Linked DNA regions of Anolis sagrei. The protein of the gene in region 3 interacts with the protein of the main gene of each other region in a pairwise test. Links are inferred from orthologs where the notes say so. Each region holds a gene or a part of one and is shown on either strand. Other genes may lie near its edges.

Region 1 (7,854 bases), on a different chromosome or scaffold from region 3:
AAAGAGTAGAGACATCACACCAGCAACAAAGATCCGCATAGTCAAAGCAATGGTATTCCCACCTTTTTTCATCTGCAGCAGGTTAGACGGCTGGCCCCCTACCTGTCCAGGGACGACCTAGCTATGGTGATCCAGGCCACGGTCATCTCAAGACTGGACTACTGTAACGCCCTCTACATTGGCCTTCCTCTGTCGGTGATCTGGAAGCTCAAGTTGGTACAAAATGCAGCTGCTCGGCTTCTTGCGGGAATTCTGATGAGATGCCACATAACACCAATCTTACTACAGCTGCATTGGTTACCAATTGAGCACCGGATTACTTTCAAAGTGATGGTACTCACCTTTAAGGCCTTGCATGGTCTGGGGCCGATGTACCTGAGGGACCGCCTCACCCCCTACCAACCCCAGAGATCCCTCCGTTCTGAGGACCAAGATCTATTGGAAATTCCCAGCGTCAAGACCTTGCGTCTAACAGCAACCAGGCGCAGAGCCTTCACAGCAGTGGCACCATCGCTCTGGAATACTCTGCCACCTTGCGGGACCTATCAGCTTTCCGCAGGGCATGTAAGACATATCTGTGTCAACAGACCTTTGATGTCTGATATTGTTGTTTTTAGAATCATAGAATCATGGAATCAAAGAGTTGGAAGAGACCTTATGGGCCATCCAGTCCAACCCCTTGCCAAGAAGCAGGAATATTGCATTCAAATCACCCCTGACAGATGGCCATCCAGCTTCTGTTTGAAAGCTTCCAAAGAAAGAGCCTCCACCACACTCCGAGGCAGAGAGTTCCACTGCTGAATGGCTCTCACAGTCAGGAAGTTCTTCCTCATGTTCAGATGGAATCTCCTCTCTTGCAGTTTGAAGCCATTGTTCCGTGTCCTAGTCCTCAGGGAAGCAGAAAACAAGCTTGCTCCCTCCTCCCTGTGGCTTCCTCTCACATATTTATACATGGCTATCATATCTCCTCTCAGCCTTCTCTTCTTCAGGCTAAACATGCCCAGCTCCTTAAGCCGCTCCTCATAGGGCTTGTTCTCCAGACAATTTAAATTGTTTTTAAATTGTTTTGTTGTTGTTCATTCATTCAGTCGTCTCCGACTCTTCGTGACCTCATGGACCAGCCCACGCCAGAGCTCCCTGTCGGCCGTCACCACCCCCAGCTCCTTCAAGGTCAGTCCAGTCACTTCAAGGATGCCATCCATCCATCTTGCCCTTGGTTGGCCCCCTCTTCCTTTTGCCTTCCGTCACTTTCCCCAGCATAATTGTCTTCTCTAGGCTTTCCTGTCTCCTCATGATGTGGCCAAAGTACTTCAACTTTGTCTCTAGTATCCTTCCCTCCAATGAGCAGTCGGGCTTTATTTCCTGGAGGATGGACTGGTTGGATCTTCTCGCAGTCCAAGGCACTCTCAGAACTTTCCTCCAACACCACAGCTCAAAAGCATCTATCTTCCTTCGCTCAGCCTTCCCTAAGGTCCAGCTCTCACATCCGTAGGTTACTACAGGGAATACCATGGCTTTGACTAGGCGGATCTTTGTTGCCAGTCTGATGTCTCTACTCTTTACTATTTTATCGAGACTGGACATTGCTCTCCTCCCAAGAAGTAAGCGTCTTCTGATTTCCTGGCCACAGTCTGCATCTGCAGTAATCTTTGCGCCTAGAAATACAAAGTTTGTCACGGCCTCCACATTTTCTCCCTCTATTTCCCAGTTGTCAATCATTCTTGTTGCCATAATCTTGGTTTTTTTTATGTTTAGCTGCAACCCAGCTTTTGCGCTTTCTTCTTTCACCTTGATTAGAAGGCTCCTCAGCTCCTCCTCGCTTTCGGCCATCAGAGTGGTGTCATCTGCATCTCTGAGGTTGTTAATGTTTCTTCCAGCAATTTTCACCCCAGCCTTGCATTCATCAAGCCCCGCATATCGCATGATGTGTTCTGCATACAAGTTAAAAAGGTTGGGTGAGAGGATGCAGCCTTGCCGTACGCCTTTCCCAATCTTGAACCAGTCTGTTGTTCCGTGGTCAGTTCTGACTGTTGCTACTTGGTCCTTGTACAGATTCCTCAGGAGAGAGACACGGTGGCTTGGTATGCCCATCCCACCAAGAACTTGCCACAATGTATTATGATCCACACAGTCAAAGGCTTTAGAATAGTCAATGAAGCAGAAATAGATGTTTTTCTGAAACTCCCTGCCTTTCTCCATTATCCAGCGAATTTTGGCAATCTGGTCTCTTGTTCCTCTGCCTTTTCTAAACCCAGCTTGCACATCTGGTAACTCTCGTTCCATGTATTGCTGGAGTCTTCCTTGCAGGATCTGGAATATTGTGTCCAATTCTGGGCACCACAATTCAAGAAAGATATTGACAAGCTGGAATGTGTCCAGAGGAGGGTGACTAAAATGATCAAGGTTCTGGAGAACAAGCCCTATGAGGAGCGGCTTAAAGAGCTGGGCATGTTTAGCCTGAAGAAGAGAAGGCTGAGAGGAGATATGATAGCCATGTATAAATATGTGAGAGGAAGCCACGGGGAGGAGGGAGCAAGCTTGTTTTGTGCTTCCCTGGAGACTAGGACGCGGAACAATGGCGTCAAACTACAAGAAAGGAGATTCTATATGCCTTTATATTCTGGGTGATATGGCTGTGAAGAAAGGCCTTCCCTCTCTTCCCTTCGACCTTTCCCTTTTCCCCTACTGAGAGAATGGAGCATGAGGACCCTTTTGCTCCGTGAAGCCACTTAAAACAATTGAAGTAAACCGAGGGGAAAGTGGGGGCATCTACACTGCAGAATGAACGCAGTTTGACATAACTGTATCTACTCATTCGACCTCCTTCCCAGCCTTGGCCCGCTTTACCCTTTCAGCTCCCACGACGCTCCTGCCGCCTTTCCCTCAGCGTCGTGCGTTCCCATGGAAACCGACGCTCTGCTTCCGCCTCTTCCCGCCTCTTCCGCCTCCTTTCTTCTTATTGGCTGTTCCTTCCGCACCGCACGAAAACATCCTCTCTTCCCAGTCGCTGTTGACGCTCTGCATTCTGGGAGTTGTCGTTCAAGACTCTCAGAAAAATTGAGTGGAAACCACATTTCCCAGCAGCCACTTGGGCATGGCTAGGCTAGTGTAGTGCCTGAAGGACAGTTCACAGGCCCTAGTTTTAGACATTTTTTGAAACCAGAGGGTGGGCTTGTCTCTCATGCAAGGAGCCAAAGAGTCTACAAAGTCTTGGGCTGTGGAACCATCTATTTTTGTGGAAGGAGAAGCTGCCTTGGTCGACTAAGCCCAGACAGGTAGGGCATGATGATGCTGCCTCTCTTGCCCAGATGTTGGCACTTGGCAGCTGGGATCCCAGCAAGGAACTGGTTCCTGTCTGGTGGAGGAGGCCTTGCTGGGCAGGAAACATGGAGTGGCACCTGCCAACTACTGCCTCGCTTGCTTTCAACCAGCCCTGGCAGCAGAAGTCAAGATCCCTCTCAACCCAAAGAGCCCAGGCCAGAGAACAGGGAAGCCCTCAAGGAGTGGGCCCTGGCTGTGTGCCCCTTTGGCTCACTGAAGGCCCGCCTCCCTTGCCACATCACTCTGTGCCCCCTGGACCCCCACAAGCACCCTGATGGAGACAGGGTTTTCGTGACCGTGAAAGGGGCCAACGCCGAGATGCACCACCCAAGATCAAGCCTGGATTCTTTGCAGGTGAAATACGACGAGGGGCTTAAGCAAGTGAGCATCATCTCAGGTGGCGTGGACAGTGCTGCCTCGGTGGATGTGAGAATGCCCATGAAATTTGGTACGTGTGTCGTGAATGACTTTTACAGTATATATATATATATATATATATTCACCCTTCTCACCCCGCAGGGGACTCAGGGCAGATTACAATGTACATATACATGGCAAATATTCAATGCCATAGACACACAACATATATAGACAGACACACAGAGGCTATTTAACATTATTTATTTATTTATTTACCTTACTTATATACCGCTGTTCTCAGCCCGAAGGCGACTCACAGCGGTTCACAACAAATATGAACAGCAAAAATTCAGTGCTACAGTATAAAAACAGTTAACAACCTAACACATTACACAATTAATAAACAGTTACTACAATACCCATTCACAATACCCATTCCAGCTTTCATGAGGGTATTCTGGCCACCAGGGGAACTGTTGCTTCACTGTCCATTTGTGACACTGATGAAGTACTTCCTCATTCTTTGCACGCTTGCTGGAAATTGTTATGACATCGTAAATTAGTTAAATTAGCCTCCCCACATAAGCGGTACCTAAATTTCCTACTTGACGGATGCAACTGTCTTTCGGGCTGCAAAGGTCGACAGCAAACTACAAAAATTGGTTGGAAGCTCACTCTGACCCGGGCTGGCTTCGAACTCATGAACTTTCGTTCAGTAGTGATCTTAATGCAGCTGACTCCCAGCCAGCTGCGCCACAGTCTCAGTGATTCCATAGCAGTTTTCACAAATAAGATATCAAAACAATGATAAAAACTAATATGCAGAAGAAAAACAATATACTTAGCAAGATTTTTGAAAACCAGGTTTTGGGAGATGAAGAATGACTTTGCTTGTTACATAAAAAGAGCACCATTTGGCCATGAGAAGATCAGAAGACTTTTCAATGACTTTGAAGCATAGGTTCTTTTTATTGCAATTTCCAGTCTGAGAAGGTATATCAGTTTACAGAAAACATTTAGGCAAAGAATGACATTGGACACACAGACATACAGATTCTATGCAACTACATTGGATTTACAATTATTATTATTATTATTATTATTATTATTATTAACTTTATTTGTACCCCGCTAACATCTCCCAAAGGACTCGGTGCGGCTTACAAAGGCCAAGGCCCTCAATAAACAACAGCATAACAAAAACAACAATAAAATTCAAAAAGCAAACCAATAAACATTAAAGCAATAACAGTAAACATTAAACAATAACACCATGACACATTTAAAAATTAAGGGTCGGGCCAAATGCAATGAATAAGATTAAAAGTGCTGGACATGACAGGTGAAATGTAAGGATTTTAGAGTAGGTGCGATGTGCAGACAATCTTAAATCTCTAATAAAGTGCTTTTGGGACATGATGCTGGGAGTTTCCTATTCTGGAAAGGCACACTGGAACAGCCAGGTCTTCAAGCTCCTCCTAAAGACTGCCAACGTTGGGGCTTGTCTGATGTCCTTGGGGAGAGAGTTCCAGAGCCGGGGGGCTACCACAGAGAAGGCCCTGTCCCTCGTCCCCACCAAACGCGCTTGCGACGCAGGTGGAATCGTGAGCAGGGCCTCTCCAGATGAACGGAGGGATCATGTGGGTTCATATACGGAGATGCGGTCACAAACAAAGTGGAATTATAATTTCACTCAACATTCACACACATGTACATGCATTCATCCACATGCATCCAAAATATTACCATATCATTTTCTCCCTCCTTGGAGAAGCACCTCTTAGGCCAGACCCTGCTTTCCTGCAGCCTGCCAATGTATAGTTCCATAACTTCCATAATGCCAAAACTTCAAAACGCCGAAATGTTGAAACTTCTTTCCCTAAACACAATGCCAAGGACCAGATCTCTGTTTTTCATATGGCAGAACCTGACTCCCTGCACAAATCTAAGACTCCAAAAGCACACTTCTTCCTCTTCCCTTGAGAAAGAAGCCCCAAAGTGACCAGACTACTCCCGTGCAGATCTGCCACTGTCTGAATACACCATCTCTCTCCTTCCCATGGAGTAGAGCATGGCAGGTGAACAGCATCTCTTTCTGTCATTTGAGCATTATTAGACTGAGTCTTTTATAGGAATATTCTGTTGATGTAGTCCCAAAGTTGTAAATTAATGATAGACGTCTTCCATCCTGGATCCATCTCAGTGTTGATTTTTCTTGATTGGTGTTAACAAACACAAGGCTTGTGTTGACTTTCTTCTTAACATAAGGAAGGTTACAAACATTTCCTTTATCACTGTCCCGTTCTTATCAGGGTTTCTCATTAGCAAGTCCAGCAAGCAGATATTAGTCATTGCAGGCCTTAATATCATACTGGTGTTTCCAAAATACATCCATCCATCCCTCCATTCTTCCATTCATTCCCAGACATCCTTATATCAAATCTGCACATTGAATTTTTATTACATGTGCTGGAAGAGAGTGTCCAAAGACCCAGAAGCAGAGCTTTCCTACCATTTGGGGGAATACATCCTTTCACGACACAGTAATTAAGTTTTAATAATAATAGTAATAATAATAATAATAATAATAATAATAAACTTGGCAGGGGGTTGGACTGGATGGCCCATGAGGTCTCTTCCAACTCTTTGATTCTATGATTTGTTATGTTTTGTGTTATATTGTGTGTACTGTACTGATGGGTGTGGCCTCATGTAAGCCGCACCGAGTCCCCCTGGGGGAGATGGAGTGGGGTATAAATAAAGTTTATTATTATTATTATTATTATTATTATTATTAAGACCATAGACTTCCTGTTGCTCATTAATGTTGTGAATGTGGTATGGTACTTCCTTTATTATTTGTAGCTTTGCTAACTGAAATAACACATTTATTGTGCTGAATTCCATTTATCTTGCAATTTGATATTTATTTTAGACTTGGATATCAAGACATCAGGAAATGGCTGTGTAAAAGTTGAGAAAATTGAATGTGATAACTGCAGAATAGAAACAGAGAGCGGAACGAGCGTTCTTCAATCAGTAAAGGTACTGAAGAAACAGATTTCCAATTGCTTCCTAACTTTCCTTTTTAATAAGTCCTATGTTATAATGATGATGATGATTATTATTATTATTATTATGTTTATTATGTTTATTTCTACCCCTTTTTATCTCCCCAAAGGGGACTCATTATGATTGTGAATTATGCTTATTCACTTGCATATGCAGTGAATAATGACTTAAAATCCTTTAGAATATTTGCATTTTTCTGGATACTGTTACATTCTATTTCAGCCCTGCAATTACAGAAAAGGCTTTAGAATCAGAGACTTTAATATTATTCTGTATTGGTTCGGACAACGTCAACTGATACCCACGGAAAGATAATCCTAATATATAAATTAGTTAGTTTATTCAGTTCAGCCTTTTCTGTGGCAAAACCTCTTTCCAAAAAGGTTCATATTAGTGCATATAGTTTACTATCATTTCCGTTTATTGGCAGTGACTCTCCAAAGACTTGGAGATATCAAATTTTCAGGAAGTCCTCCTGTGGTAGTACCTTCATTGTCTACACCAGTGGTTTCCAACCTGTGGTCAGTGGACCACCAGTGGTCTGCAAGAACTAAAATATGGTCCGTGGCCTCACTGCTACTACACCATTGCAACGAGAGCAACTGGTCTCGCAAAACGCTGTGCCGTAGCTTATTAAATATGGTTTTCTGTGGGCGAGCAGATGATGACTACTGGATGGCATCTGTTCTTTATCAGAAACTAGAGCTAATGTGGTCTATCCAATGCAGTTTTCTGAATCAGCACCCGAAATACCCAAATCGAATCTAAAGTTGTCCAAAAATTGATTTGTAATCCTTTTGGTACTAATGTTGGATAGTGATCCCTGGTCAAGTGGTTTCTGGTCAAAAAAAGGTTGGAAACTACTGCTCTATACTCTGATGTGTCTGGTTCGCCATTTTTTGTCTAGGAAGGATTGTGTTACTTGAAGTACCTTATTAGGGGAACACTTTTGAGCATGGAAATGCAATGGGGGGATCATTTTCTGTTGGGTTTAGCTTGCCATGCAGGCAGCATCACATTCTAGAGGGGTGATTGAGAGATTCAAATGAGTCTGAATAGAAATAGAAAAGGGGGAGAGAGAATAAGAAGGTTAACTCTCTT
Region 2 (7,605 bases), on a different chromosome or scaffold from region 3:
TGGTCACCCCAAAACTAAGTCTGCCCGACCGACCGTTCTTGAGTTGCCCCTACCCTACTCTGACCTTGCCTAACTACCCCACTGAACCCCAGTTGAGATCCTACTTGACTGTGACCAAAGGTTGGCTAACAGTTACCCCAAAACTAAGTCTCCCCGACGGACCGTTCCTCAGTTGCCCCAATCAATCCAACATTGCTGGTATTGATCCAGCCGGTTTGCTCCTTGCTGGATCAATACCCCTAATCAAAGGATTAACTACCTTCCCAGAATTAACCCCAATGGACTTGGGGGGTCGAATCCCCCCCAACTAGATCCAAAAGTCAACTCACCGCAGAGCCCTATACTTTGTCCCACTGTCCCCCAAAATTATCTAGTCCGAACCCCCAGTTGTAACCCACCCCCAGTGACTTGGCCCCCCAAGGGTACCCCACCCAAGGGAACCCCAAAAGTTTCTCCTGCTGACCACAAGTTGTCTATTATCTCTCCCCCAAACTGACCCCACTGTACCCCCAAATCTGTCCCTGCTCTGCCCCCCAAATCTGCCCCCCAAGACCCCCAGGTAGCTCCCACTTGCCTCTGCCTCTCTGCCTTCCTTCCTATCAGGAGGAACCGGAGGAGTGACTGAGAGAAGAGAAGAGAAGGAGGAGGATTTATTCGCCCAAGTAGAGGAGGAGGAGGAGGAAGAAGAGGAGGAGGAGGAGGGTTAACCCCGTCCTGCCCGGAGGACGGCAAAGGACCCCTCCCCAAAACACACCTTGCCAATATAGACTATTGCACCCATACATACCTATTATTATTGTTGTTGTTATTATTATTATTTACACTATACTTGCCTTTACCTGCCCATAGAGAACCTGTTGCACCCATTAATGTCTATTATTATTATTATTATTACACTATATTTTTCCTTGCCTTCTCATGGAGAACCTGTTGCACTCATTAGTATCTATTACTATTATTATTATTATTATCATTATTATTCACAGTATTTGACCTTACCTATTTAGGGAGGAACCTATTTCACCCATAAACAACAACAACAACACACTATTTTTGCCCTTACCTGCTCAGGAGGGAACCTGTTGCACCTATGAATATCTATTGTTGTTGTTGTTGTTGTTGTTGTTATTTCACTATACTTGCCCTTACCTGCTCAAGAGAGAACCTGTTGCACTTATAAATATCTGCTATTGTTGTTGTTGTTGCACTATATTTGCCCTTACCATCTCAGGAGGGAACCTAGTGCACCTATAAATATCTATTATTATTATTATTATTATTATTATTGCTGTTGTTGTTGTTATTGCACTATACTTGCCCTTACCTGCTCAGGAGGGAACCTGTTGCACCTATTATTATTATTATTATTATTATTATTATTATTATTATTATTGCTGTTGTTGTTGTTATTGCACTATACTTGCCCTTACCTGCTCAGGAGGGAACCTGCTGCACCTATTAATATCTATTATTATTATTATTATTATTATTATTATTATTATTATTGCTGTTGTTGTTATTGTACTATACTTTCCCTTACCTGCTCAGGAGGGAACCTGTTGCACCTATAAATATCTACTCTCCTTCTCCTTCTCCTTCTCGTTATTATTATTATTATTATTATTATTGCTGTTGTTGTTGTTGTTGTTGTTATTGCACTATACTTGCCCTTACCTGCTCAGGAGGGAACCTGTTGCACATATAAATATCTATTATTATTATTATTATTATTATTATTATTGCTGTTGTTGTTATTGCACTATACTTTCCCTTACCTGCTCAGGAGGGAACCTGTTGCACCTATAAATATCTACTCTCCTTCTCCTTCTCCTTCTCGTTATTATTATTATTATTATTATTATTATTATTATTATTGCTGTTGTTGTTGTTGTTGTTATTGCACTATACTTGCCCTTACCTGCTCAGGAGGGAACCTGTTGCACATATAAATATCTATTATTATTATTATTATTATTATTATTATTATTATTATTATTATTATTATTATTATTATTATTGCTGTTGTTATTATTGCACTATATTTGCCCTTACCTGCTCAACCTGCTGCACCAATTAATATTATTATTCCTATTACGATGACTAATATTGCATACTTGTCCTTGCCTGCTCAAGATGGCACTGGCTGCACCAATAACATTAGCATTAGTATTCTTATTATCTCAGGGAATTTGCTCTTGCAAACAACAACAACAACACTACAATTAGAAGAATAATAATTACAGACTCACTGGAGCCCTAAAGTGAGGCGGGCAATATCGCCACCTGGTGGTCAGTGCTAGGAATGCCCTCTTCTGCTCCACAAGGTCTCTCATTAGTACTAATTATTATGATTCTCATCATCATCACTGTCATCAGTGCTATAAACATCTATGGCCTCCCCAGGACACCATATAAATAATCAATTAATTATTAATATTCTTAATTGTTATTACTTGTGAATAATTAATTATATTATATTAATAGTTAATAATTAATATTAATAATTAATATTATTATTAATATAACGAATATGGCTAATTTAATATAACTAAATTATAATTAATATTAATAGTTAATAGTTTCCTATTAATTGATATTAATTAAATATTAATATTAATTAATATTAGTGATTAATATAAATAAGTATTAATAGTTAATACTTAGTAGGCATCCTATTAATTAATATTAATTAAATATTAATATTAATTAATATTAATAATTCAAGTAATCAATTATTAATAGTTAATAATGAATATTAATAATTAATATTATTGATATAACGAATATAGCTAATATAATATAACGAAATTATAATTAATATTAATATAATTAATATTTTGATTTTGATTGATGATTAATATTAATTAATGTTAATATTTAATTAATATCAATTAATAGACATCTTATTAATTAATATTAATTAAATATTAACATTAATTAATATTAATAATCAATATAATTAATTATTAATAGTTAACAATTAATAGCCATCCTATTAATTAATATTAATTAAATATTAATATTAATTAATGTTAATAATTAATATAATTAATTATTAATAGTTAATGATTAATAAGCATTCTATTAATTAAAATTAATTAAATTTTAATATTAAGTAATATTAATAATTAATATAAATAATTATTAATAGTTAATGATTAATAGGTATCTTAACTATTAATTATTATTTATATAATATTAATAATTATTAATAGTTAGGATACCTATTAATCATTAACTATTAATAATTATTTATATTGATTTATATTAAAAAACCAAAACAAAATTCAAATGAATATTAATTACAGTAATTTCCAAGTAGGTACGGGCTTTTCCTAAATTAACAAAGCGTGCTTAATGTTGTGTTTAAGGGAGAATTAAATTATCATTGCTAATTATTATTAATTATTATTATTATTATTTATTAAATAATAAATAATATTAATTAATATTAATAATTAATATTAATAATTATTAGGTATCCTATTAATACTAATTATTAATTATTATAATTAATAATAATAATTAATAATAATTAGCAAATAGCAATGATAATTTAATTCTCCCTTAAACACAACATTAAGCACACTTTGTTAATTTAGGAGAAGCACGTACCTACTTAGAAATGAATTACTGTAATTAATATTCATTTGAATATTAATTTGAATAATTTGAAGAGAGGGGAAAAAATTAGCAGAGGATGGTTTCGATCCATCGACCTCTGGGTTATGGGCCCAGCACGCTTCCGCTGCGCCACTCTGCTCCATTGGAACTCCAGGCGGCTTAGGGAGTACATAAGAGCATGTCACGTTCTGCGCATGCGCACGTTTCTTGGAGTCATTTCCTTTGGAGTCTCTCCTCCTAGGGAAGCACCGCGCATGCGCCCCTTTCGCCTCTTCTCTCCATCTCCTCCTAGGGAGGCACTGCGCATGCGTCCCTTTCTCTTCTCTCCATCTCCTCCTAGTGAGGCACTGCGCATGCACCGCTTTCGCCTCTTCTCTCATCTCCTCCTAGTGAGGCACTGCGCATGCGTCCCTTTCTCTTCTCTCATCTCTGCCTAGTGAGGCACTGCGCATGCGTCCCTTTTTCCTCTTCTCTCTCCTCCTAGTGAGGCACTGCGCATGCGCCCCTTTCGCCTCTTCTCTCCTCCTAGTGCGCATGCGTTCCTTTCTCCTCTCAATCTCCTCCTAGTCAGCCACTGCGCATGCGTCCCTTTCTCCTCTCAATCTCCTCCTAGTGAGGCACTGCGCATGCGCCCCTTTCTCTCAATCTCCTCCTAGTGAGGCACTGCGCATGCGTCCCTTTCTCTCCCTCTCCTCCTAGTGAGGCACTGCGCATGCGTCCCTTTCTCCTCTCAATCGCCTCCAATGAGGCACTGCGCATGCGCTCCTTTCTCCTCCTCTCTCCTTTCTCCTATTGGCGAACGAGGAGAAAAAAGAGAAAAGGGTGTGCGCGCGCGGCCTGATTGATAGGCCCAGAAGCCAATAAAATCACAGAACCTGAAAGAAAGGGCGGGGAAAAAAGAGGAACGCGAGACAGGAATTGGCTGCAAGGTTAGGAACCTACCACGGCGGGTTTTACTCACTTGGGAAGGCCAATCGCGTCGACGCTTCTTGCGAGGTGGACAAAGGCGGCGGCGAAAGAGCGGGCCGGGTGGTTATTCTTCGCGGAGGGTCTTCAGGGAGGAAGAGGCGCTTTGCGGACTCGGAACGGTTCTCACTGGAAGGAAGCATGAGGTAAAAAGAGGGAGAAGTCAGAGAGAGAGATGGAAATATGGAAATATACATATTATATTATGTATATTATATATATATATATATATATATAATATTATTATAATATTATAGTATTTAATTTAATAAATATATTATATTATTATATGTATATTTAATATTTAATATTTAATATTATTATAATATTATAATATTTAATATAATATATATATATGTATATATATAATGTTATTATAATATAATAATATTTAATTTAATATATAATATATATATTATATTATTAAATATAATATATAATACTAAATATAAAATATATATTATATGAAAATTATATATTTATTTAATATATATGAGATAAATAAAATACTATGTATATTATTTAATATTGTATAATGTTCTATATATTAAACATTACACATTAAATAATATATGTAGTATTTTATTTATCTCATATATATTAAATTTAATATATAAATAATATATAGATAATATAGATACATTCTCTATAATATATATAATATCTATCTGATATTATATCTATATGATCTATATATTAGATATAATATCATATACATATTATAGAGAATGTATCTATATTATCTATATATTAAATTGTAGATATATTATCTATAATATAGATAATAGATAATATAGATACATTCTCTATAATATCTATATGATCTATATATTAAACATTATACAGTATTAAATAATATATATAGTATTTCATTTATCTCATATATATTAAATTAATATATAATTTTCATATAATATATGTTATATTATAGATAATATATCTACAATATAATATATAATCATCTATATTATCTATATTATAGATAATATAGATATAATTTAATATATAGATAATATATTATAACTATATATAATATAATATATCACACGCATATTAAATATTATACGATATTAAATATTAAATAGTTTATTTAATATATTATAGATACTCAATATATTTAATGCTATATATATATATATATATATATATATATATATAATATGCACAGACTATATAAAGGCCTTAAATCACCATATATATATATATTATGTTATACTTATATAATTTTAAATATTGTATAAGATTTAATCTATATATATAAATTTGTTAGGGGCATCCAACGAGGAAACAAAACTCAAAAACCCCCCAACGAAACTGTACCAAAATTGCCATGCCCATAAGACAACCCACAAGGTACAAACATATCTACTCAAAATGAAAAACAACACAACAACACACTCACAAAACGGCAAAACAATTGAGCATGCGCATTGGTGCCCAGCCGCAAGTTCCCTGGCGCGCGCACACAGTTCCCTCTGCGGAAGCCATGCCCACTCCAAGCCCCGCTACGCTCCTTCCCGTACACACACACCCCGCCGCAAGCACACACACAACCCCACGCTCCATCACTCCCCCCGCCGCACACACACACGCAACCCCACGCTCCATCACTCCCCCACCGCCACATACACACGCGCAACCCCACTCCCCCCCGCTGCCGCACACACACACGCAACCCCACGCTCCATCACTCCCCCCGCTGCCGCACACACACACACAACCTCACGCTCCATCACTTGCCTGCCCCAATCTTACCTCCTTTTACTTCACGCCACCTCCAAACCCCACCGCACCCCTTCCCGCCCTGTCAAAATCCAGGAAAGACAGGAAGGAAGGAAAGAAGGAAGAAAGAGAAAGGGAGATAAAGAAAAGGGGGAAGGAAGGAAAGTTAGAGAAAGAAGGAAGAAGAAAAGGAAAGAAAAGGAAAGATGGAAGGAAAGAAAAGAGAGACAGCAGAAGAGAAAGAAAAAGGGGGAAGGAAGGAAAGAGGTAGAGAAGGAAGAAATGAGAGACAGAGGGAGGGAAAGAAAAAGGGGGAAGGAAGGAAGGAGAGAAGGAAAGAAAAAAGGGAATGAAAGAAGGAAAGAGGGAGTGAAGGAAGGGGGAAGATGTAGAGAAAGAGGGAGGGAAGGAAAGAAGGAAAGAGAGAAGGAAGAAAAGAGACCAGAAGAGAAAGAAAAAGGGGGAAGGAAGGAAAGAGAGAAGGAAAGAAAAAAGGGAATGAAGGAAGGAAAGAGGGAGTGAAGGAAGGGGGAAGATGTAGAGAAAGAGGGAGGGAAGGAAAGAAGGAAAGAGAGAAGGAAGGAAAGAGGCCAGAAGAGAAAGAAAAAGGGGGAAGGAAGGAAGGAGAGAAGGAAAGAAAAAAGGGAATGAAGGAAGGAAAGAGGGAGTGAAGAAAGGGGGAAGATGTAGAGAAAGAGGGAGGGAAGGAAAGAAGGAAAGAGAGAAGGAAGGAAAGAGGCCAGAAGAGAAAGAAAAAGGGGGAAGGAAGGAGATAGAGAAGGAAGAGGAGAAGGAAAGATGGGAGGGAAGGAAGGAAGGAGGGAAAGAAGGAGAGAAAGAGGGAAGGTTGGTCACAGCAATGCGTGGCGGGTAAAGGTTGTTATTTCTATGATTATTATGATGCTATTATTCCTCTGAGACCCTTTTAGGGGGAATGGGAGAGGTGTCAGGTCCCGGAGGCAATGCATTGCATTATTGCTATTGTTATGATGGTGGTGAAATAAAAGGAAATAAAAAGCGAAAGAAGGAAGCAAACAGGGAGGGAAGAAAGGCAAAGGAAGAAAGGGGGAGGGAATGAAGGAAAGAGAGAAGGATGAAACCAAGTAGTGAAAGAAGGAAAGAAAGAAAGAGGTAGAGAAGGAAGAAAGGAGAGAAAGGGGGAGGAAAAGGGGGAAGGAAGAGGTAGGTACCTCTCTTTCATAATAGTCCAGATATCTACCTCAACTTTGATAAGTTTTACTATAGGCCACAGCAACGCATGGCAGGGCACAGCTAGTACTGTATATATTTGTG
Region 3 (7,837 bases):
GTTTAAAAGCTTCAAAGGAAAGAGCTTCACTGGAGTCTGAGGCAGAGAGTTCCAGTGCTGAACAGCTCTTCTTACAGTCAGGAAGTTCTTCCTAATGCTCAGGTGCGATCTCCTCTAATTGGAACCCGTGACTCCATTGTGTCCTACTTTGCATGGCAGCAGAAAACAAGCTTGCTCCCTCTTCCTTAGGACATCCTTTCACGTATTGATACTCCTCATGTCTCCACTCAACCTTTTACTCTACAGCTAAACAGACTCAGCTCTTAAGGCTCCTCAGAGGGATTAATGTCTCCAGACCTTTGATCATTTTAGTCGCCCTCTTCCTCTGGACTCCTAGCTTCAGAGTCAACATCCTTCTGAAATTGCTTTGCCTGGAACTGGACACAGTGATATCCCAGGTAAAGAAGTCTGACCAAAGCCAAATAGAGAGCTACCATGACTTCTCTTGATCGCAGCACTGGACTCATAGAATCATAGAATCATAGAATCAAAGAGTTGGAAGAGACCTCATGGGCCATCCAGTCCAACCCCATTCTGCCAAGAAGCAGGAATATTGCATTCAAATCACCCCTGACAGATGGCCATCCAGCCTCTGTTTCAAAGCTTCCAAAGAAGGAGCCTCCACCACACTCCAGGGCAGGGAGTTCCACTGCTGAACAGCTCTCACAGTCAGGAAGTTCTTCCTAATGTTCAGATGGAATCTCCTCTCTTGTAGTTTGAAGCCATTTGTTTTGTGTCCTAGTCTCCAGGGAAGCAGAAAACAAGCTTGCTCCCTCCTCCTCCCTGTGGCTTCCTCTCACATATTTATACATGGCTATCATATCTCCTCTCAGCCTTCTCTTCTTCAGGCTAAACATGCCCAGTTCCCTAAGCCGCTCCTCATAGGGCTTGTTCTCCAGACCCTTGATCATTTTAGTCGCCCTCCTCTGGACACATTCCAGCTTGTCAATATCTCTCTTGAATTGTGGTGCCCAGAAGTGGACACAATATTCCAGGTAAAGTGGTCTAACCAAAGCGGAATAGAGCATGGTGAGCATGACTTCCCTGGAGCTAGACACTAGGCTCCTCTTGATGCAGGCCAAAATCCCATTGGCTTTTTTTGCCGCCACATCACATTCCTGGCTCATGTTTACCTTCCTCCCCACGAGGACTCCAAGATCTTTTTCACACGTACTGCTCTCGAGCCAGGCATTGTCCCCCATTCTGTCTCTTTGCATTTCATTTTTTCTGCCAAAGTGGAGTATCTTGCATTTGTCCCTGTTGAACTTCATTTTGTTAGTTTTGGCCCATCTCTCTAATCAAGATCGTTTTGAATCCTGCTCCTGTCCTCTGGACTATTGGCTATCCCTCCCAATTTGGTGTCGTCTGCAAACTTGATGATCATGCCTTCTAACCCTTCATCTAAGTCATTAATAAAGATGTTGAACAGGACCGGGCCCAGGACGGAACCCTGCGGCACTCCGCTCGTCACTTCTTTCTAAGATGAAGAGGAAGCATTAGTGAGCACTCTCTGTGTTCGTCCACTTAACCAACTCCTTTGGATGCAGCCCATAATCCCATTGGCTTTTTTAGCTGCTGCACCACACTCTTGGCTCATGTTCGGTTTGCCCTCCATGAAGACTCCAACCAAGGTCTTTTCCCCATGTAACTCTTGTCAAGCCAGCCGTCACCCATCTTTGCATTTCTGCCAAAGTGTCGTATCTTACATTTGTCCTAGTTGAGATTCATTTTGTTGATTTTGGCCAATTGGCTCTCTGATTTGTTGAGGTCATTTTGAATCCTGATCCTGTCCTCTGGAATATTAGGTCTCCCTCCTAATTGGGTGTCATCTGAAAACTTGATAAACATAGGTAAAGGTAAAGGTAGTCCCCTGACATTAAGTCCAGTCATGTCTGACTCTAAGCTGAAGAGCCAGCGTTGTCCGTAGACACCTCCAAGGTCATGTGGCCGGCATGACTGCATGGAGCACCGTTACCTTCCCGCTGGAGCGGTACCTATTGATCTACTCGTTGATAAACTACTATTGATAAACATACCTAGAGGTAAACCAAGAATGGGCAACTTGGAAGTCCCTGAACAGACTCAGAAGTGGAGTTAGCAGATCAAAAGACAACCACTGCCTAGAAGAATCCTCCACCTTGTGCGAGTGTGGAGCAGAACAAACAACTCAGCATCCGCATGCTTGTCCAGAATGCCCTGCCTCATGCACAGAGGGAAAATTCTTTAAAGCTGCCGACATTGCGGTTGCTGTTGCCCAGTTTTGGTCAAAAATTCTTTAACCGCTTTGTTGTGGTTTATCAGTCTATGTGGAAGCTACTCAGCAGTCTTCCCAGCCCCAGCCCTCTGTTGATTCACACAGTCAGAGTAAAAGGGAAAACAAAATTTACCCTTGAGTAGTACGCAGAGGCGGCCCTAGGTAATTTTCAATGGTAAGCAAACAGTATTTTGGTGCCTCCTCCCCCCCCCCCACCCAATCATTGATATATATTTTCTGTTCGTCGTGGGAGTTCTGTGTGCCCTATTTGGTTCAGTTCCATCATTGGTGGAGTTCAGAATGCTCTTTGATTGTAGGCGAACTATACATCCCAGTAACTACACTTGCCGCACTTGCTCCCTTGCCTGGCCCGCTTTGGGTCTGGAGGCGTGCCTGAAGACCCCAGTGTGTGCACCAAAAGTCACCTCTTCTCCTGACTTTCTCCTCAGCCATTGGGACCGAGAGAGAGAAAGAGAGAGAGAGAGAGGTGGAGATGCCCACCTTTCCTGAAGGTAGGTGCAAAAACAAAGGAGGGAGCGGAGGTGGGAGATACTTCCAGCCGGAGGGGCTCTCTCTCTCTCTCTCTCTCTTGGTCCCAATGGCTGAAGAGAAAGTCAGGAGAAGAGGTGACTTTTGGTGCGCACGCTGGGGTCTTCAGACACGCCTCTGGACCCGAAACGAGAGAGGAGAGGAGGCGGGTGGAGTGCCGGGGGATCAGGAAAGGGAGCCAGTCATGGGGAAGGGATCGAACACGGAGAACGATTGAGCGCCGGCTCTGCTCGCGCACCCGCTGGCCAGGTGGAGCAGGAACGAGAGGGGCTAGGCGAGGCTCAAGGGCCCGGCCCCTTTGGGAAGAGGATCGCCCGGCAGCGAGGCAAGGAAGCTGAGGCTCCCCCCGGACTGCTAGGGCTGTTGTGAGCTGAGGGGGTGCTCCTCAAGTGGCGGTCGAGGGGCATTTACAGAGGCGCCTCTGCGCCCCTGGCAAAAAAAAAGTGTTCTGCGACCGCTTACTTCACGTAATGGACGAGCCGCCCCTGGTAGTCAGAGATCAATATGCAGCTTTACAAAATAACCAGCCTTGAAAATAAACTCAGTCCATTGCAGAAAATAACTCGCACAAAGTCCAATGCATTAAAACCGTGCATTCTCTGTTTCTTCAATGCTGCAAGGAGTCTTGTAGCAAATGGTCCAGACCTTCAGCAAGTCCTGTAGTAAGTCCATGGTAGAATGACCATCAGCATGGAAGTCCCATCATTTCTCTCCATGAACGACTGTCTTCATGATCTGAATGCTCCTCATGATATACTCCTTGCAGGGAGTGGCTCAAGCTTGATTGCTTAATTGTCCAGGTGTTCTTCCTCAACACGCACCCATACAGGAGATGATCCTTGTGAAGACTTAGCATACATATGCACACCCTGTAATACGCTTGCATTAACTCTATTTTTAATCAGTTTTATACTTATTCATGCAATGCTTTGGAAATGAAATAAATAAACTTTCATCCAAGTCATGAATTGTTGCAGCCTGGTCAGGGTCTGAGTACTCGGAGGATGAGGAAGGGGAGGCTGGGATGCACCCTCAGGGGGCATGAACATCACTCAAGGGGTGGAGTTTCCTGTCAAAGGCGGGGCTTGTAGCCCGATGGGCGGGGCTTCCTCTCAAAATGCGGGGCCTTCAGCTGTAGGGCGGGGCTTCCCCTCAGAGGAATTCCACTCAAGGGGAGGGGCTTCCTCTCAATCAGCGGGGCTTACTTTGTGGTGGGCGGGGCTTCCTCTCAATGGGCGGGGCCTTCAGCTGAAGGGCGGGGCTTCCCCTCAAGGGCATGAATTCCACTCAAAGGGGAGGAGCTTAAAGCCTGGGGGCGGGGCTTCCCCTCAAAGGGAGGGGCCTTCAGCTGAAGGGCGGGGCTTCCCCTCAAGGGCATGAATTCCACTCAAAGGGGAGGAGCTTAAAGCCTGGGGGCGGGGCTTCCCCTCAAAGGGAGGGGCCTTCAGCTGAAGGGCGGGGCTTCCCCTCAGGGGGCATGAATAATACCCAAGGGGGCGGGGCTTCCTCTCAAAGGCGGGGCTTGCAGCCAGATGGGCGGGGCTTGCGGCTGAAGGGCGGGGCTTCCCCTCAGGGGTCATGAATAATACCCCCAAGGGGCGGGGCTTCCTCTCAAGGGCGGGGCTTGTAACCAAATGGGCGGGACCTGCGGCTGAAGGGCGGAGCTTCCCCTCAGGGGTATGAATACTATTCCAGGGGGCGGGGCTTCCTCTCAAGGGCGGGGCTTGTAGCCGGAGAGGCGGGGCTTCCCCTCAGGGGGCATGAATAATACCCAAGGGGGCGGGGCTTCCTCTCAAAGGCGGGGCTTGTAGCCAGATGGGCGGGGCCTGCGGCTGAAGGGCGGGGCTTCCCCTCAGGGGGCATGAATATTCAAGAGGGCGGGGCCTATAGCCTGGGGGCGGGGCTTCCTCTCAGGGGGCACGAATACTATTCAAGGGGGCGGGGCTTCCTCTCAAAGGTGGGGCTTGTAGCCAGATGGGCGGGGCCTGCGGCTGAAGGGCGGGGCTTCCCCTCAGGGGGCGGGGCTACCTCTTGGGCGTTTCCAGGGCAACCGTCGCCCTCCTCCCGGAGGACCATAAAATCCCAGCCTCGGCCTGGACTCGAGGCCCAGGGACAGTGAAAACACGGGACAGGAAGTGCGTCACCTGCCTTACCCCAGGACTTCCGGCTCCCCTACGGAAGCCGGAGTGCGGGGGCCTGGAGCTGTTTCGCTTGGGAGTCCGCGATGTCGTGCCCGCCGCTGGAGGCGCTGCGCGGGGGCCTGGAGGCGGCGCTGTCGGGGCTGAGAGGTGAGGGCCCTTCCTTCCTTTCGGGAGGGATGGAGAGAGAGGGGGCGCTCTGCACGCGCTCAGGGGCACGCTTGTCTCGCAGGCGGAGAGGCCGGGCGGAGCGGCGACGGAAGCCGAGAGGAGCCAGAAGAGCAGCAGCAGCAGCACGAAGAAAAAGAGGCCGCCTTCGACCCCGGAGGCTTCTGGGATGCCCTGGGTAGGTAGCCAGGGGGGAGGTCTCTCTCTGGGGCGCCTCTCTATGGCCTTGGAGGACTTCTTTCTCTCACTCTCACTCTCTGTCTCCCTCCTTCCTCCTCCTCCTGCAGGGGGCGCCTTCGAGGCAGCCAGCCGAGAAGCTTCCGCCCTGAGCCTCGCCTTGGCCCGCCCACCGCCGCCGCCCCGCCAGGTGGGTCCTTCCGGGAGAGGGAAGGGGGTCCCCCAAAGGCCATCTAGTCCAGCCCCCTTTATTTATTCCGCCATTCTGCAGGAAGAGCACCATCAGAGCCCTCCCCACAGATGGACACCCAACCTCTGCTTAAGAATAATTATTATTATTATTATTATTATAGACTGCTTCACCATCATAGCAATAATAGAATCCTAGAATTGGGAGCCCCAAGGGTCATCCAGTCCAGCCCCTTATCTTCTTCCAGGCAGGAAAAGCACAGTCAAAGCCCTCCCAACAGATACTCATCATGCCTCTGAATAATAATAATAATAATAATAATAATAATAATAGTAGAATCCTAGTGTGGGAAAGGAACCCCAAAGGTCATCCAGTCCAGCCCTCTTTATTCTTTCAGGGAGGAAAAGCACAATCAAAGCTACCCTGATAGATGGCCATCCAGCTCCTGTTTACTACTACTACTACTACTAATAATAATAGAATCTTAGAATTGGAAGGGAACCCCAAAGGTCATCCAGTCCAGCCCCCTTAATCCCGCCATTCTGCAGGAAGAGCACCATCAGAGCCCTCCCCACAGATGGCCACCCAACTTCTGCTTAATAATAATAATAATAATAATAATAAGACTCTGCTTCACCATCATAACAATAATAGAATCCTAGAATTGGAAGGGAGCCCCAAAGGTCATCCAGCCCAGCCCTCTTTATTCTTTCAGGGAGGAAAAGCACAGTCAAAGCCCTCCCAACAGATACTCATTATGCCTCTGAATAATAATAATAATAATAATAGGGGAAGAATAATAATATCACCATCATAGCAATAATAGAATCCTAGAGTGGGAAAGGAACCCCAAGGGTCATCCAGTCCAGCCCTCTTTATTCTTTCAGGGAGGAAAAGCACAATCAAAGCTACCCTGATAGATGGCCATCCAGCCCCTGTTTAATAATAATAATAGAATCTTAGAATTTGAAGGGAACCCCAAAGGTCATCTAGTCCAGCCCCCTTTACTCTGCCATTTTGCAGGAAAAGCACCATCAGAGCCCTCCCGGTAGATGGCCACCCAACCTCTGCTTCATAATAATAATAATAGTAATAATAATAATAATAATAATAGAATCCTAAAATGGGAAAGGAACTCCAAAGGTCATCCAGTCCAGCCCTCTTTATTCTTTCAGGGAGGAAAAGCACAATCAAAGCTACCCTGATAGATGGCCATCCAGCTCCTGTTTAATAATAATAATAACAATAATAATAACAATAGAATCTTAGAATTGGAAGGGAACCCCAAAGGTCATCTAGTCCAGCCCCCCTTTATTCCGCCATTCTGCAGGAAGAGCACCATCAGAGTCCTCTGGACAGATGGCCACTCAACCTCTGCTTCATCATCATAACAATGGAATTCTAGTGTTGGAAGGGACCCCCAAAGGTCATCCAGCCCAGCCCCTTATCTTCTGCCAGGCAGGAAAAGTACAATCAAAGCCCTCCTGACAGATAGTCATCATGCCTTTGAATAATAATAATAATAATAATAATAATAATAATAGTTGTTTGATACTCATGTTAGGTGCCTTTTTGATTCATGATTCAAGTTTTGGAATTTTACTTTGGACGTTTCTATATTTGTTTTTCATGAACTCTGATGGATTCATTTCCTAGACTATTTGATCCTGCTTATCTTTCTGCTTATCTTAGATTTACCTATTTTGTTCATTCGTTTCGTCGCTTCCAACTCTTTGTGACTTCCTGGATCATCCCAAGCCAGAGCTCCTTGTCAGCCGTCCCCACCCCTCTCTTATTATTGCAAAGGCTGGATGGCCATCTGTTGGGGGTGCTTTTCCTGTATGGCAGAATAGAGGGGGTTGGACTGGATGTCCCCTGGAGTTTTCCATTGAAATACTGTTAAGTTTATGTTGGTCAAAAAGTTTGCCCATGCCACACACATTATATATACTGTATATATATATATAATATATAATGGGCCTTAAGAAGCATTGCTAACAACAAGGCAACAGGAGACGACGGGATCCCAGCTGAACTGTTTAAAATCTTAAAAGATGATGCTGTCAAGGTGATGCATGCCATTTGCCAGACAGAGGTCCTCCTGGTCAGTCGCAAGGCCGAACAGGGCATAGGGTTACAGCCTGTGTTGGATGGGGCCGCACTCCCCCTGAAGACTCAGGTTCGCAGCTTGGGTGTGACCCTGGACTCATCCCTGAGCCTGGAACCCCAGGTTTCGGCGGTGACCAGGGGAGCATTTGCACAGCTAAAGCTTGTGCGCCAGCTGCGCCCGTACCTTGGGAAGTCTGACTAGGCCACGGTAGTCCACGCTCTGGTTACATCCCGTTTAGACTACTGCAACGC
Region 4 (7,641 bases), about 63 Mb from region 3:
GGCTCAATCGCAGACTCTGCCTCTCCCTTGCCGAGCTCAGCATCTTTTGCAGAAACTGCCCTGAAGGGGAGGAGCCACAAAGTCCAAAGTCTTGTCCATTGTGTCAATTTGGTTCCTTTTTTGGCAACAGAATGACCCGGCTGATGGAGAAAGACAGCTAGATATATTCCCCGCCTCTTCCTAAGTCTGGGTTTGTGTCTTAACTTCCCCGCCAATGGCGAAATGGAGGCTTGCCTTGAGGTCTCCAGCTTCTGAAAGCGAAACGAATGCTTGAGGAAGAGGTGCTGGGCCAGAGAAAGAGGCCTCAAAAAAGGTCCATCCTCTGTTTGCATTTTAATCCATGTATTTTTAAAGGCCAATCCTTTACTCGGCATTAGCCAGACTGTGGACCCAGCTCCAAAGCAATGCAGGTCCTTCCAATTTTCTTTAATATTCAAACAGGGGAGGGGGTACTCCATGTGCATGTACACCAGGCAACCTCAAACTGTGGCCCTCCAGCTGTTCGGCCCTCCAACTCCCAGAAGCCCCAGTGAGCCTATTCAGTAGTCAGGAATTTTGGGAGTTGGAAGCCCAAACAGCTGGAGGGTCACAATTTGAAGATGCCTGATCTACACTGTAGAATGAATGCAGTTTGACACCACTTTAACTTCCATGGCTCAGTGCTGTGAAATCGTGGTTGTTGTACTTTTACAAGGCCTTTAGCCTTCTTTGCCAAAGAATGCTGGAGCCTTACCAAGATACAAATCCCCTTGATTCCATATCACAAAACCATGACAATTAAAATGGTGTCAGACTGAATTCATTCTACTGCTTAGATGCAGGTGGATTGAAGGTGGTTCATAAGTGCGGTGTCCAAATTACACTTGTCCTGGTTAGAGGCAGGAGTAAGCAGTTCTGACCCCATTATTTAGGAGGTGTATCTGACTATACAATTATAGCCACCAATAGCTCTATTTTAAGGTCTCGTGGGATGTACAGTTCAATGAAGTACTTCAGATTCTCCCTTGGAGATAATTCATTCTCTCTATCATCTTTCAGGTATTTTGGACTTCAGCTCCCAGAATCCTTGAACATTTCCCAGGTGTCCTGGGCTGAAATTTTAAAGATCTGGAGGAACCACTGTCTGGTTCACTCCTTTGAACTCCACGGCCTCTTCCACACAGCTGAATAACATGATCTTCCCACATTATCTGCTTTGAACTGGAATATATAGTAATGTGGACTCCGATAACTCAGTTCAAAGCATATATTGTGGGGTTTTCTACCTTGATTTATTTATTGATATTGACAAGCTGGAATGTGTCCAGAGGAGGGCGACTAAAATGATCAAGGGTCTGGAGAACAAGCCCTATGAGGAGCGGCTTGGGGAACTGGGCATGTTTAGCCTGAAGAAGAGAAGGCTGAGAGGAGATATGATAGCCATGTATAAATATGTGAGAGGAAGCCACAGGGAGGAGGGAGCAAGCTTGTTTTCTGCTTCCTTGGAGACTAGGACGCGGAACAATGGCTTCAAACTACAAGAGAGGAGATTCCATCTGAACATTAGGAAGAACTTCCTGACTGTGAGAGCCGTTCAGCAGTGGAACTCTCTGCCCCGGAGTGTGGTGGAGGCTCCCTCTTTGGAAGCTTTTAAGCAGAGGCTGGATGGCCATCTGTCAGGGGTGATTTGAATGCAATATTCCTGCTTCTTGGCAGGGGGTTGGACTGGATGGCCCATGAGGTCTCTTCCAACTCTTTGATTCTATGATTCTATGATTTATTTATTTATTTATTTGCTTTACTTCTATACTGCCTTTCTCCGCCGAAATGGCGACTCAAGGTGGTTTACACAGTAAAGATCATCACAACAATATCAAAAAGACAATTAAAAGCAAATTATACAAATTACACCAAAACAAACAATCATTATCATAGGCCTCAGCAAACAAATCAGAATCAGAATCCGTAATCATAATCCTTTACCAAATCCTATGTTCAGTTGTACCATCTTCGTGTATTCATTGCAGTATTTAGCCAAATGCTTGTTCGTAAAGCCAAGTCTTGACCTTCCTCCGGAATGCCAGCAATGAAGGGGCCTGTCTGATGTCCACAGGTAGGGCGTTCCACAGCCGAGGGGCCACCACCGAGAAGGCCCTGTCCCTCGTCCCCGCCAACCGCGCCTGCGATGTAGGCGGGACCGAGAGCAGGGCCTCCCCAGACGATCTTAATGTCCTAGTCGGTTCATAGGAGGAGATGCGTTCGGAGAGGTAAGTATTGATATTCTGGGTTATATGGCTGTGTGGAAGGGCCCCACACCCCAGATTCCTTAACATGGTTTCAGATCACATGGTTATACAAAGTAGTGAGAAACTGATGTAACAATGTAATGCGGATACTTCTCCAGTGATGTGTGTATGTGTCATTAAGATACTGTCAACTTATAACAATCCCATTAATTTCATAAGGTTTTCCAAAAGGGACTACTCAGAAATGGTTTGCCAGTTCCTTCCTTTGAAATAGAGCCTACTGAACTTGGCATTCATTGTTGGGTTTCCATCCAAGTACTAACCAGAGCTGTTCCTGCTTAGCATCCAAGATCAGATGGGATCTGGTACCTTTAGGGCAGTGGTTCTCAACCTTTTTTCACCAGGGACAACTTGACCACTCTCCAACATTAGTACCAAAAGGGCTACAAATCAGTTTTTGGTAAACTTTAGATTTGGCTTGGTTATTTGGGATGCTGATTCAGAAAATTGCATTGGATAGACCACATCAGCTCTAGTTTCTGACACAAAACATAGGCCATCCAGTAGTTGCCATCTGCTCTCCCACAGAAAGCCATATTTAATAAGCTTCAGCACTATAAGAAGTTTCGCAAGACCAGTCACTCTCTTTGCAATGGTAGTAACAGTGAAGCTGTGGACCATATTTTAGTTCTTGCAGACCACTTGTGGTCCACGGATCACAAGTTGGGACCCACTGCTTTAGGGCATTAGGCTCTTCCTCAAGTGGGCTGCCCTCCAAAGCCAAAGGAAGTGCCACAATATGTTTTTGAGGCACCTCACCACTGGAGAAGCAATGCAGTCTGCCACCATCTTTACTGCTACGGTTCAGTGCTGTAGAATCCTGGGAGGTGTAGTTTGGCGGGACACCAGCACTCTTTAGCAAAGAGGGCTGAAGACCTTGTAAAACTGTAAGTCCCATAATTATATAGCATTGAGTCTTGATAGTTAGAGTGGTGTCAAACTGCATTTCTTCTGCAGGGTAAATGTATCCTATGCAGACACCATAGCACTGGCTTTTGTGGCCTTTCAAATATTTTGGGGTGGCAGCTCCCATCACTCCTGGCCACTAGGTAGGCAGGGTAGAGTAATGCTTTTCAAAATAGTCACCAGGGAGTCATGATCTGCCAACACATTGCATGGGTGGATGATGATGATGAGGTGCCCTACAATACTTGGAGAGACTCTGTTGCTGGCCCAGCTTTGAGGTTGCAGCTTGGCCTTCTCCTGAAAATGCCAGCCCGGGCTTCAGAAGCCTGGAGTCCCTTTGGCAAAGAGGACTCAAGCTTGCTTTCAGGATGGCTTGAACCTGGGATATTCAACAGGTGTACTTGCTTTTTAAGGCAGAGAATACCAACTGGGAGTGAGAGCAGCCTCCCCATCATGTTGTTTTTTTTAGACTAATTATTTTATTCAGAACCAAAGAAAGCATTATAATCAAACTGTCCTTGCAATGCTTGCATAGAAGTGGGAGGGCATCAGCAATGAAGGCAGAAGTTTCCAAACTGTCGTGACACGCCAATGTGTCGGCTGCAGTGTGTTGGTGCGGCACACAACTGTAACGTGAAACCTGAGTCTATAGCAGGCCTGGCCAAACTTTGGCCCTCCCAATGTTTTGGACTTCAACTCCCACCATTCCTAACAGCCCCAGGCCCCTTCCCTTTCCCCCTCAGCCTCCATCTCCCTGAAGGGACTTAGGGCGGCTTATAAGGGATGTGCCCAGCAAATACAGATTAAAAACAAACACAGAAATGCAGTCAACATTTAAAAACAATATACCCTGGTTAAAGCCTTGTGTCGGCAGGACTGAAGACTGACAAGTCGGAGGTACAAATCTGGGGAGAACGTGGATGAGCTCCCTCTGTCAGCTCCAGCTCTCCATGCGGGAACATGGGAGAAGTCCCCCACAAGGATGATAAAACATCAAAACATCCTCTGGGCAATGTCCTCGCAGACAACCAATTCTCTCACACCAGAAGCAACTTGAAGTTTCTCAAAGTCGTTCTTGACACACACACACACAAAAGGTCTGGAGTTGCATCTACATTGCAGACTTAATACAGTTTGACACTACTTTAGCTGTCAGGGCTCAGTGCTAAAGAGTCGTGGGGGTTGTTGCTGTACAAAGCTTTCTCTACCCAGGAGTGCTGGTGCCTCACTCAATTAAAAACCCCAGGCATCAAGCCAGGGCATTTTAAAGCGGTGTCAGACCGCGCTCATTGTGCAGTGTAGATGCAGAGGGTTGCTAAAGGACCCACGCAGCTCGTGCCCGTGAGGAATGCAGCTGGAGGAGGAGGGGGCTGGGCTTCAGGCCTCCTCTTTGCTTCTCCCTCCCATCCGCTGCGTCTTGAGGCGGAGGAAGTCAAGAGAGATCCAACGCCGGAGCTCCTCCTGCGCCCATCGCCGGCTCGCTTCCTCCCCGCCTGTCCATCATCCCTAGAGGAGGCGGGGCTTAGCGGAGGCCCCGCCCCTTCGCCCAGTGTCCGGAGCCTGCCTTTGAGGGGCTTCTCTTGGAAGCATTGGGAGGGAGCAAGATGTCGTCTGGAGCGGCGCCCCCGAAGAGCGGCTCTCCTTTAAGAAAGCGGGCCAGCCTTCAAGCCGTCGTGGGAGGAGGAGGAGGCGGAGGAGGTGAGCGTGGGAAGATGGCATTTCCTCCCCCAGCCCTCTTTTCCCAAGCTAGGGGGGGGTTCTCTTCATGATAAAGCACCCCAATTCCTCCCCCCTCCCTTCTTCTGCATTTCCCTGCTGTGTTTCCTTCTTCCATAGGCTAATGGCTGCTCCTTGGGTTGGTTGGATGCTTGGCTGAGCAGACTTGGGTGCATCTGTACTGTAGAATTAATGCAGTTTGACACCGCTTTGCAGCCATGGCTCAAGGCAGTGCAATCAACTGTAGCTTGACAAGATCTGTAGCCTTCTCTACCAAAGAGGGCTGGTGCATCACCAAATTTCCAGAATCCAGTAGAATTGAGCCATGGCATTGAAGTGACCAACTTCACTGTTTCTGTAGAACAGACCTGGGTGCTTTGTACTTCAACTCCCACCATTCCTAGCAGCCTCAGGCCCTTTCCTTTTCCCTTGATGCACCTTCCTCTTGGCATGCTTCTCCCTTTCGCCCTCCATTTGTGCCGCTTCGAATTCTGCAGCACTGCTGGTCACAGCTGACCTCCAGTTAGAGTTCTCAAGAGCCAGGGCTTCCCCGTACTCAGTGTCTATATCACAGCTTTTAAGGTTGGCTTTCAGCCCATCTTTAATTTTTTTTCCCCCTGTCCACCAACATTCAAGAGAATGCAGCCACCTGTGGCACAGTGGGATGATAATAATAATAATTTTATTTTTATTCCTCACCTCCATCTCTCCAAAGGGACTTAGGGCGTTTACAAGGGACGTTCCCAGCAAATACAGATTAAAAACAAACACAGAAGTGCAATCAACATTTAAAAACAATAAACCCTTGTTAAAGCCTTGTGCTGGCAGGACTGAAGACTGACAAGTCCAGACATTTTGGACTTCCAACTCCCACCATTCCTAACAGCCTCAGGCCCTTTCCTTTTCCCCTTCAGCTGCTTAAGTGGCCTGAGGCTGTTGGGAATGGTGGGAGTTGAAGTCCAAACATCTGGAGGGCCCAAGTTTGCCCATCTTGATATAGAATGATATAAAACCCTTCAATTCTTAATCTTATCCATCTGTGACGTAGATTGCACAGCCCAAGCAGAAATCTTATTTCTTGGTGTCTTGGTTTTTAGGCACGTTCCTAGGGTTATTTGAACCACTGATTCGGAAAATAGCGTCAGATAAACCACATCGGCCATAGTTTCTTAGATAAGGTTGTTGTGATTTTCTATGGGTGATCAGATGGCAACTGGTATATGGCGTATGTTCTTCATCTCACAAACTCGAGCTGATAGGGGAAGACTGGTGCCGTTTTTGGAACCGTCAGATGAAACATACCCAGAAATGAGTTTTATTTGTGTGTCGGCCAGTGATGTAATTCAGAAAGATGCACATTGCGACCTTTGTCTTCAAGGTGTGATGGGATACAGGTCTTTCACATCTTTACAAGGGTCTTTTAGGATTCATGTATAAAAACAAAGCATGTTCAGAGGTGGGTCCCTCTGTGAATGTGCAGTAAAATCCCTAAAGGCACTTATAGAATCATAGAGTTGGAAGATACCTCATGGGCCATCCAGTCCAATTCCCTGATCATGTCTGGCTCCTGGTCCTGACCTTTAATGCTCTATATAGGAGCCCCCAGTGGTGCAGTGGGTTAAACCCCTGTGCCGGCAGGACTGAAGACTGACAGGTCACAGGTTCGAATCCAGGGAGGGTGCGGATGAGCTCCCTCTATCAGCTCCAGCTCCTCATGTGGGGACATGAGAGAAGCCTCCCACAAGGGTGATAAAACATCAAAACATCCAGGCATCCCCTGGGTGATGTCCTTGCAGATTGCCAATTCTCTCACACCAGAAGCGACTTGCAGTTTCTCAAGTTGCTCCTGACATGACAAAAAATATGTTCTATATGCCAGAGGCTTAAATCCCCTACAGCAGTGGTTCCCAACCAGTGGTCCACATGAACTAAAATATGGTCTGTGGCCTCACTATTACTACACTGTTGCAATAAGGGTGACTGGTCTCGCGAAACCCTCTTATAGTGCCAAGGCTAATTAAATATGGTTTTCTGTGGGCGAGCAGATGGCAACTACTGGGTGGCCTATGTTCTGTATCAGAAACTCGAGCTGATGTGGTCTATCCAATGTAATTTTCTGAATTAGCACCCCAAATAACCAAACCGAATCTAAAGTTGACCAAAAACAGATTCGTAATCCTTTTGGTACTAATGTTGGAGAGTGGTCAAAGTGGTCCCTGGTCATATGGCCCCCTTGGTCAAATGGTCTTTGGTCAAAAAAAGGTTGGGGATCTCTGCCCTAAAGCCACCGGCTCTTGTCTGATCTTGGAAGTTAAGCAGTGTCCGTTCTGCTTAGTACTTGGATGGAAGGCCATGTACAGGTCCTGCAAACTGTTTCAGAGGACTGAACTGGCGGAACCATCTCTGGTTATGTCTTGCCTAAGAATACTCTATGGATTTTATGGGGTCACCATAAGTTAATAATAAGAAGAAGAAAAAGAAGAAGAAGAATCTTTTCTTTATATCCCACCACCATTTCCCAGAGGAACTCGGGGCGGCTCACAAAACACTCAAGGTATGACATGCAAAATGCAACAAGTGCAAAACAAAACATATGACTAGACAATAAACAATCAACACAACATCATAAATTCACAGTACCCCCTTGTAAAAACAATGAAATATAGTCATTGCTGTGGATAAAACAGCAGTATTCGATTTCAGAAATATAACATGCTAATAAAGAATCTAAAGG

What was found.
Region 1: the proteins of CCNDBP1 (region 3) and CCDC146 interact in binary tests that used the Homo sapiens proteins (3 or more experiments, as listed by UniProt). The two-hybrid records come from large-scale screens. The link is inferred for Anolis sagrei from reciprocal best matches to the Homo sapiens genes CCNDBP1 and CCDC146.
Region 2: the proteins of CCNDBP1 (region 3) and ILF2 interact in a two-hybrid assay, tested with the Homo sapiens proteins (2 studies listed by BioGRID and IntAct). The two-hybrid records come from large-scale screens. The link is inferred for Anolis sagrei from reciprocal best matches to the Homo sapiens genes CCNDBP1 and ILF2.
Region 4: the proteins of CCNDBP1 (region 3) and AMPD2 interact in binary tests that used the Homo sapiens proteins (3 or more experiments, as listed by UniProt). The two-hybrid records come from large-scale screens. The link is inferred for Anolis sagrei from reciprocal best matches to the Homo sapiens genes CCNDBP1 and AMPD2.

Annotation. Positions count from the first base shown.
Region 1 is NC_090025.1:85,572,814-85,580,667, reverse strand, and holds the start of CCDC146 (coiled-coil domain-containing protein 146), read right to left. Parts: upstream 3,004-7,854; 5' UTR 2,848-3,003; intron 1-2,847. Other genes in the region: protein FAM185A, read left to right, coding at 3,283-3,769, 6,617-6,726. UniProt on the Homo sapiens protein: Essential for sperm flagellum biogenesis and male fertility.
Region 2 is NC_090032.1:1,536,534-1,544,138, reverse strand, and holds the start of ILF2 (interleukin enhancer-binding factor 2), read left to right. Parts: upstream 1-4,604; 5' UTR 4,605-4,731; coding exon 4,732-4,736; intron 4,737-7,605. UniProt on the Homo sapiens protein: Chromatin-interacting protein that forms a stable heterodimer with interleukin enhancer-binding factor 3/ILF3 and plays a role in several biological processes including transcription, innate immunity or cell growth.
Region 3 is NC_090024.1:247,310,709-247,318,545, reverse strand, and holds the start of CCNDBP1 (cyclin-D1-binding protein 1), read left to right. Parts: upstream 1-4,828; 5' UTR 4,829-5,027; coding exon 5,028-5,091; intron 5,092-5,173; coding exon 5,174-5,287; intron 5,288-5,396; coding exon 5,397-5,476; intron 5,477-7,837. UniProt on the Homo sapiens protein: May negatively regulate cell cycle progression. May act at least in part via inhibition of the cyclin-D1/CDK4 complex, thereby preventing phosphorylation of RB1 and blocking E2F-dependent transcription.
Region 4 is NC_090024.1:184,411,417-184,419,057, reverse strand, and holds the start of AMPD2 (AMP deaminase 2), read left to right. Parts: upstream 1-4,635; 5' UTR 4,636-4,795; coding exon 4,796-4,889; intron 4,890-7,641. UniProt on the Homo sapiens protein: AMP deaminase plays a critical role in energy metabolism. Catalyzes the deamination of AMP to IMP and plays an important role in the purine nucleotide cycle.